Linked DNA regions of Tribolium castaneum. The protein of the gene in region 1 interacts with the protein of each later gene in a biochemical or structural test. Links are inferred from orthologs where the notes say so. Each region holds a gene or a part of one and is shown on either strand. Other genes may lie near its edges. The genes, in order: wts and mats.

What was found.
Region 2: of the proteins of wts (region 1) and mats, one has a biochemical effect on the other in vitro, tested with the Drosophila melanogaster proteins (2 studies listed by BioGRID). The link is inferred for Tribolium castaneum from reciprocal best matches to the Drosophila melanogaster genes wts and mats.

Annotation. Positions count from the first base shown.
Region 1 is NC_087397.1:10,568,046-10,572,653, reverse strand, and holds the start of wts (serine/threonine-protein kinase Warts), read left to right. Parts: upstream 1-1,484; 5' UTR 1,485-1,796; intron 1,797-3,924; 5' UTR 3,925-4,082; coding exon 4,083-4,608. Other genes in the region: protein NDUFAF4 homolog, read right to left, coding at 25-182, 230-452, 501-589, 638-782. UniProt on the Drosophila melanogaster protein: Negative regulator of Yorkie (Yki) in the Hippo/SWH (Sav/Wts/Hpo) signaling pathway that plays a pivotal role in organ size control and tumor suppression by restricting proliferation and promoting apoptosis.
Region 2 is NC_087400.1:149,379-152,916, forward strand, and holds mats (MOB kinase activator 1B), read right to left. Parts: upstream 1,981-3,538; 5' UTR 1,835-1,980; coding exon 1,821-1,834; intron 1,772-1,820; coding exon 1,162-1,771; intron 1,113-1,161; coding exon 1,032-1,112; 3' UTR 567-1,031; downstream 1-566. Other genes in the region: heterogeneous nuclear ribonucleoprotein H, read left to right, coding at 1-147; tRNA (32-2'-O)-methyltransferase regulator THADA, read left to right, coding at 2,255-2,377, 2,427-2,749, 2,794-3,013, 3,059-3,288, 3,335-3,538. UniProt on the Drosophila melanogaster protein: Coactivator of Warts (Wts) kinase in the Hippo/SWH (Sav/Wts/Hpo)signaling pathway, a signaling pathway that plays a pivotal role in organ size control and tumor suppression by restricting proliferation and promoting apoptosis.

The DNA.
Region 1 (4,608 bases):
TTGAACTAAATTTCAGTTACATTGTCAGGTATCCCCCTTGTCTTCTTTCCCAGGTAACAGTTGTTTTCTAAGTTTTGGCATGACTCTAATTCTGGGTACACTAGGCCCAGCAAACTTGGCTTTAACTCTTCTTTGTTCAGGAATATAGACTTCAAAAACTTTATAATATTTTAAAACATTTTCTGCAACAGATCATTGGCTATATTGGCTTAAAACAATGGAAAATTACTTGTTATTTCTTCGGGTAATTTATACTCCTTAGAAATAGCTTCAACACTATGTAGTCTACGATCGTGTTGGTGGTCTGTCACAAACTTAAGGACTTGTTTTAGTGAGGCCCTCCCTTCTGGAATTTTTTCAGGTTCTTTAACCCCATATTCAAAATCCTCAACTTGTTGCCTGTTAAGAGGAAGAGGTCTGTTGGGGTTTATTTTCTGTTCTTGCACCGGATTCTAAAAAAATATTTGCAAATTTGACGTTTTTTTTTTTAATTTACTTACAGGGTCATGTGAGGTCACATAAACATCTTTTAAGTAGTTATCCAACTGTTGGTGTTTTTTCTGGCCTTCCCTAAATTCTTCAGGATACTCTTCAAGAATATTACATTACTCAAGCCCTTTCGAATAAACAAACTCACCTCTCATTAATCTTTCATAATCTAGTTGATCACTTTTGTGTTTGGGAGCTGGAGTTGGCTTATCTTTGGATATAATTTTGTGTGCTCTACTCTCGATGTTAAAAGTCCGAAAAGGACGACCCATTAAAGACATGACTTTTCCCATTTTCGGCTTAAAAATTGAGTTGAGGTTAGGTGTAACCTCAATTCTAAAACTTCTTGATGTGACAGTTGACGAAAATTGAAGAAGGACCTCACGTATCCAGTTTTAATTATTTAAGGATACTTGTTTATTTCATAAAAATTGTGTTATATCATAATTTTTATTTTTCTATTCCACACATACTCGGTCACATTGCTGAAACAAAGACAGATTGACGGAGAAAGACAAAGATAAAACGCCTATTATGACCTTTTTTTTGATTTTTAAATCTGTAAATATTTTAAATCAGGGGCGTAGAGACTGAAACTATCAAATACCATGCATGTTTATTTTGCATCTGGGCAGATGTTTAAATTATGTAACTTTAGCACAATTTAAGTTAGCATTTTACTTTTCAAATCATTTATATTAGATCTAAAAAAAAGCTCACAAAAGAAATAATAATTTCTAATTTGAACACCTTTGATACGCTTATGGAACAAACGCTATCTCCATTGTCGCAAGCAGCGCGCATAGCTGCCAAATTGAGAAAACGGAGGGAACTAGGCGTCACATTATTTTCAACTAAAAATGGACGAAACAAGGCATTAATAAATACTCAGCTGGAAAAAATGGGATGTTTTATAATTTCCAAGTAATTGTCTGGGTGCAGACACGATTCGTGAGCTAAAGCAATGGCATTTAGTTCTAAATAAATAGTTTTCTAAGGTTGGCAGATTCTGGAATTTGACACTGTGTAAGATGGCTGGTATCTGAATCTTGGTAAATTGTCTTTGTTTTCATTACAGATTTAAGTGCCTTAAAAAGTGATTTAGCTTTAAATAACCGTACAGTTGAATGTAATTAAAAGTTTATTGTGTGGTGCGTGCGACGTAGCGTAGTGTAGAAGCCCTATGATGGAAATAATGTGTTAAGTGTTCATAAATTCCTCCACATAGAATGAGATAGATTGACAATTGACACTTCAAAATCTGTCAGTTCTTGCAGCAGATTCCATTTGTTTTAGAAGAATAAAAGGTAATTGTTGGCTAGGTTGTTTAAATAAATTTATCCTTGATGAGATGAATTGGTGTTAGACAGTAACAGATTAGATGTCACGCACAATGCCAAAGAATGTATGACTGGAATGCCGTGCGAGTGAGACATTTGATTGTAATTTGGCACATAGCTCTACTAGCGCCTGAAGCACTGTATCCCATACACTATGACAGATGCTATGCCTAATCTTTACACCGATTTATTCCCATTTTAGCCTACGCTTTAATCCACACCAAACGCCCCCTGATTTGTCTCAACTAACGCACAAAATTCGCTTCTCTTCCTAATCTCCGCAGCTAATTGTCATAGTTGCAGCTTTTTATGAAAGCAAATCACCAAACTGGACCATAAGAATGTAAATTAATCAATTAAAACATGCCATACAAAGACACAACCACTCCAATTATTCCTCGGAGACTTCTTCATTTAGCAACTAGGAGCGATTTTGGTGTTTATTAAAATAAAAACAATCCAAATGCAAATGTAATTGAGGTCACATTTAGAACATTTTTTCAGTAATAATTATTTGAAAGTGATTTTCACGGGTGCATAAAAAATTGCAATTGTGCACGCTTATTGGTAAGCGACCTTTTTTACCGCTCGTTATTGGTGCTCATTACGTAATGAATTAACAAGAAATTGACATCAATGGTTAAAATCTAGCAGAGTGTAAAATCACGATTTGTGAGAGCTGAATGAATTCATTATTATTATTAAATACCGACTGGCGACTGCATATTTTGTGGTTTATGCGTTTTTTAAATAGTTTTCTAAAAATATTTATATACAGTGTCAGTGTTAATATAATTTTATTTGAGATCAAAAGTTTTACCACAAAGGAAGAATCTCGTTTATCAAAAAATTCCACTAAACTTTTGTCATAACTTGAAGTTTTACGGCTGCAATAATAAAACCGCACACATCCGATTCGAAGCCGAAATTTTTCCACGGCAAAATGGATTATTTAAGAAGTCCAAGGATCAAGAAAAATGTTGATTAATTTATCTGTTTTTTGCTTTCCGTTAGTGCAGATCTTGTAAATCTTTATCGTGTCTCAAAATGATTTATAAAATGTACCGGTTGCATTAAATGAGTAACTCCAAATATCACAGCGCTTTAGAAATTCGTTGGAATTTCAAGCATCTATTCCTCTTGAGTAATTTGGAATTATCAAAACAGGTCACAGTATGAGAGCTCGTTATGGACGTATTAAATTTTCACTCGACGATTTGATAAAATTCGTGTCAAATTATTGATAAAAACGTAACCGTATTTTTTTAGATTGAAATAAAGCGACAATGTCTGTGTTCGCACTTCCCTGTAAAAACGAAAACGTCATTTTCACGTGCATCTTCGAGGATCCACGGCACATTAACAAAGCAGTGAAGCATGATTTATGCGTTCATGAATATTTCCATTCTTCATTGAAGTTTTGCAAAGCTTAATCGTGCGGTTACCTGTTGTTATTTTTTAAATTTAAATTAGGCGAAATTATGCAGAAAGCTACCAAATTTAACAACATTTTATATTTTGCAATGTGCAGAGCGACGTTTCACATCGCACTAGAAATCAACTCATACTCTTATTTTCGGAGTTGGAGATTTTTGCAGAATTCTCCTTGAATTGGAAGGTGTCTAGGGATACAACGCTGAAATCTCTATTTTAAGAAAAATCAGTTTAAAGTTGAGGGTTAACTTGCATAAAAAATTATTTTAAAAAAGTTGTAATTTTATTCTATGTATTTTTTTCACATAAAGAAATAAACATAGTTTTCTGGTTCATTGAGGGTTCATTGTTGTTTTATTAAACACCTTATAAACTTGACTGGATAGTTTGAAAAAAAAAAAGAAATTCATTAAGTCATTAATTTAATTTCCAATTAAATGCGTGATTAACTGATCACGTGACCAAATTGACGCAATTTGGTTGGTCCATTCGCGTTGTTAACTTTTACCAACTAATTAAATTTTAACGTAGCTTTCTGTAAACCGGCCCTTAAATTTTTTTTTATTATTTTTATAAGGGGGTAACTTGTTACAGCGGGGGCAAATGCCTACTCCTTGACTGCTAGTGTTTTTATTTTTGAATATTTTGTTTTTGATTGCAGTCGTGAAGTCGCGAACGATCGAATCCACTGCAAGAATCGTCAGGAGTGCGTCAAAACTCGTCTTCCAATGTAATGCAAAATGTATGAATGGGCGTAATTGTAGTGCATACTCATGTGCGGGGAGCCATGTGAATCGCTAGTGAGTGGCAGGGCCCAGCATGGGCCAACAGCCTCGGCCCCAACTGAACATGAATCCCAGCGCGCCAGCCCGCTCGCCGGGCTACCACCAAAAGGCCATGGAGGAGATCCAGAACTCGCTGCGCCCGTTCGCAAAGAGCGGCGGCGAGGCCGTGGGCTCCAGTGCGGCCAGCACCATTTCGAATTTCTCCGCCACAAGCGGAGTGAGCTCGCTGAGCTCGACGTCCGGCACTAACGGCACCGACAAGGACGTCCTCCAGCTCAGACACACGCTCTCGCAGCTCGTCAACATGGGCTATTCGGAGGAGGCCTCGTTGCGAGCGCTCCAACTCTCCAACTCACGTCTGGACGGCGCCCTCGACTATCTCATGAAACAACAAATCGACTCCGGAAACAAATGCGGTTACACCAAACTCATACGTAAGCCTAGCATCGAACGAGAATTGGTTCTGCCGAGAGGAAGTCCGGCTTTGGATAGCGGGGCCGGAAGTTCCCGATCTGATAGTCCGAGATTGACCGAAATACACTCAACAGTCAGCCGATACT
Region 2 (3,538 bases), on another chromosome or scaffold:
GTTGAATTTGCCTCACATGAAGACGCCATGAGGGCAATGAGTAAAGACAAGGGGCACATGCAGCATAGATATATTGAGTTGTTTTTAAATTCGGCGGGGGCTGATAATGGAAATTCCGGTTACGTTACCGGACGGAGAAGGGTTTAGTTTAAAAAAAAAACAAGACTTTGAAAGTATTTATCTATCTAGGAATATTTTTTTACTTAAATTTGGATTCTTATTTTTGTATTGTTGTGTTCAAATGACGTACAAAACGCCGGCCAAGGTTTGGTTTGTTTCTGTTTCAGAGGTTACTCGGATGAGAAATCCAATTTACCCTCCATTACTAATTGTAATTAAGCAGTTTTATAAATGAATTAATTTTTAGTAAATAAATTATTAATTCGAGTAATTTTCCTAGTATTATTATCCTCCCTAAACTAATTACAAGAATCTGTATTATTAGCCAACTGTGAGGTTTGCGGTACAAAAGTAACACTTGAACATCTATGAACGTGTATATTGATTCTAAAAATAGTTTTATAATATACATGGTTAGAAATTTCGTTCAAGCAAGCGACTAGATGTGAAATCGAATAAAAGCGCAATTTATTGTGGTCAATAAAATACAAAAAAAACCTAATCATAGGCTCGAAAAAAACAGGAACAAAAATATAATAAATAATAATATAGGAAAAAAATGAAGCTTAATTAACAAACATTGATAAAACAACACTCAGTAGTAGTAAATTGTCGTTTCCTACGTGGTTAAGTGCAATAAATAAGTTGTTATCTTGTTTTAAGTATACCGGGTGTTCCGTCTAATCCCCACGTTAGTAGTATTGAAAGTTCTAACAAAGATGTTTATTTGAAAGTTGGTACTCAGCCATAATCCGTTGAATTTTGCTCAATGAACCCAAGAGATATGGTTGTATACAAATTTTCAGATGACTATCATTATTCGAACTACTAAAACTTCTAATGTGGGGTTTAGACGGAACACCCTGTAGATAGTGCCCCCTAACCCTGTTCCAGTGGCACTTCCCTCATTTTCATCGTGCTTCCTTTGCTGTCAATTTATCGATCAATTCTTGAAGGGGGGCTTGTTCTCGTCGTTCAATTAAACTAAATTCCTGTCAAAAGCACAGAAAAATTGTGGAAATCCCCAAATTTTCTCCTCACCTGCACGAAGAAAATAAAATGTTTGAAAGAGGTATTAAGATGTGCCTCTTCCCCTAATTGCACCACTTGACTAAAATGTTGATGGTAAATGTGTGCATAAACTCGGAAAAGTCTCTTAAGGATAGTCTTAGCAATCGAGAGGAAATTTTTCGGAAATGGAACTCCGATTTTCGAGGGAAAAAGTGTCTCATCATCAAGTTGGTCCTGCACCCATGTCATGAGATAATCGATGTATTTGGGCGCAGAGCACTTGATGGGTTTCTTAACAGTGTGCCCATCGGCCCAATGGTACTCATATTTGGGGCCCGCTGACATTATGGGACAACTCTCTTCAGTGCAAAACTCTGTTATGGTCCCGTACAACATATTGATTTGGTTAAAGAAATCAACGGCTGTGGAACAAGAGGGCTGTATTTTGGGGTGCATACAAAAGGGGTACATACTGTTGACGGCCACCCACTCGTTTAGGTCTTCGCCCTCGGGGAGCATCACCGCTAAACGCAAATTACCAGAACCTAAAGTGGCAGCAGCGTGTTTCATCAGCTCGTACTGATGGGTGCCTTCAGGGATGTTTTTCTTGGGCTTGAACGTCTTTGACGAACGGCTGCCGCTACAAGGGGGCTGGTAAAGGGGCGCACTGGGACTGGGGGGCTACTTACAAAAGGAAACTCATCGTGACTGCGCTCAACTCACTCAAAGGCAAAATGGGACACAATCACAGGAAATAAACCCATAATCCATCGACCAGAAACAATTATTCACGATGAAAGTCTTATCGGTACAATTTTCGTGACCTTGGAATGGCAATTGTCAAAAACAAGCGCCACATTTGAATTTTTCGCGTAATTTGGGCGCAAACAAACGTAATAATTAACACTCGGAGCGCTAACAATTTATAATTAAATGGAACGCAAGAACTGTGCTGCAGTTATCACGTAAATGTAATTTTCGCCAAAATTTCGTACCGGGTTTTTTGCCGCGTTAAGTTGTCACTTGACCTAACCTTACTTAAAAAAAAATGCGTTAACACATTTAACGTGTTTTATGTGATATTTTGTGGAAAATCATTAAATAATACTGCAAGTCGTTCGTTATGGCCCCCATTCTTAATTTGAAATTGACCACAAGTCACAAATTTTGCCCCGACAGCCCCCTTCTGAATGCCCTAAAATCATGCAATGACGATTCCCTCTATAAAAAACTGATCGACGAAATCGTAATTATTAATGCAGGGTGTACAGTGCGAAATTGACGATTTTTTCCAGCTTGACACCTACCACCATCATCAGGACTTTGGCGCCCGAAACGTCATAATCGAAGCGTTAATTAACACAAACGGGCGCAAAAATTTGCTCAAATACATGTACAAGCAGTTAAATGTGCGCCAAATTGGCCAAAGTAGTTTTTTCGAACACATTGCATCAAGTGTGATGAATGAATGTAGAGAAAATTTCGATAATTTTGTTTTCAGTTTAACGTTGTGCGAGAAAGTCGTGCAGTTTTTTGCGTGTTTTATTCAAAATTTTCCCGATGATTTTCTAGAAAAGACGTTTTTGTTTTATTTCTACAGTCTGGAGGCGCTTCAATCGTAAGTTGGCTGTGATCAAGTCAAATTTTTATTGTTTGTCGTAGCCATGGTAACGATTGTTACGTGAGTATGGTTTTGAAACAGTTGGCTGTGACGTTACCACATGCCAATATGAAACAATTGAGTAACTATGCCCTTGAAATGGTTGTTATGACTTTTGAGATTTTGCAAAATTGCGAATTTAAATTTGAGACGATTTTGGACAGTTTCGTGGTTTTTTCGTACTTCTCAACCCTTTTGCCTGCAAAAGAAACAATTTTTTTGGTAAGTTTTCAATTTTGGGAGCAATTTGTAATTTTTTGTTCATAGAAACACCGAAATTACCCCATTTTGGAGTTTATAGATAACGAAAAAAATGATTTTTGTTTGATTCTCCAAAGTAAAAATTTTCCGAATTTATTCAAAACTGGTCGTTTGAAAGCAATTCTTTACTTGACTATTTCAAACACTGTACCACGTGACGTCCTTTTGAACGTAAAAGTGGCCAAAAAACCGCTTTACGAATCACTTTATACAAACTTAATTGATTTAGGGATGAGGTAAATCCCCGAAAAGTCCGTTACCTAGTTACTTATTTTTTTCCAGTTTGACAAACTTCCCCGACCCAATTGTCCCCATAACACGAACTTTGGACTCACTTTCGGTCTTAATTACACGTTCGTCGAACTTTTCGGAACTTTTTATCAAAAGTTTCGACTTTATTTGGACACATTTGGACCACTTCGTCGATCAGGTGACCCAAAACACGAAATCACTCTTTGAAAAATTGACAATTGAAGCACAAAAACG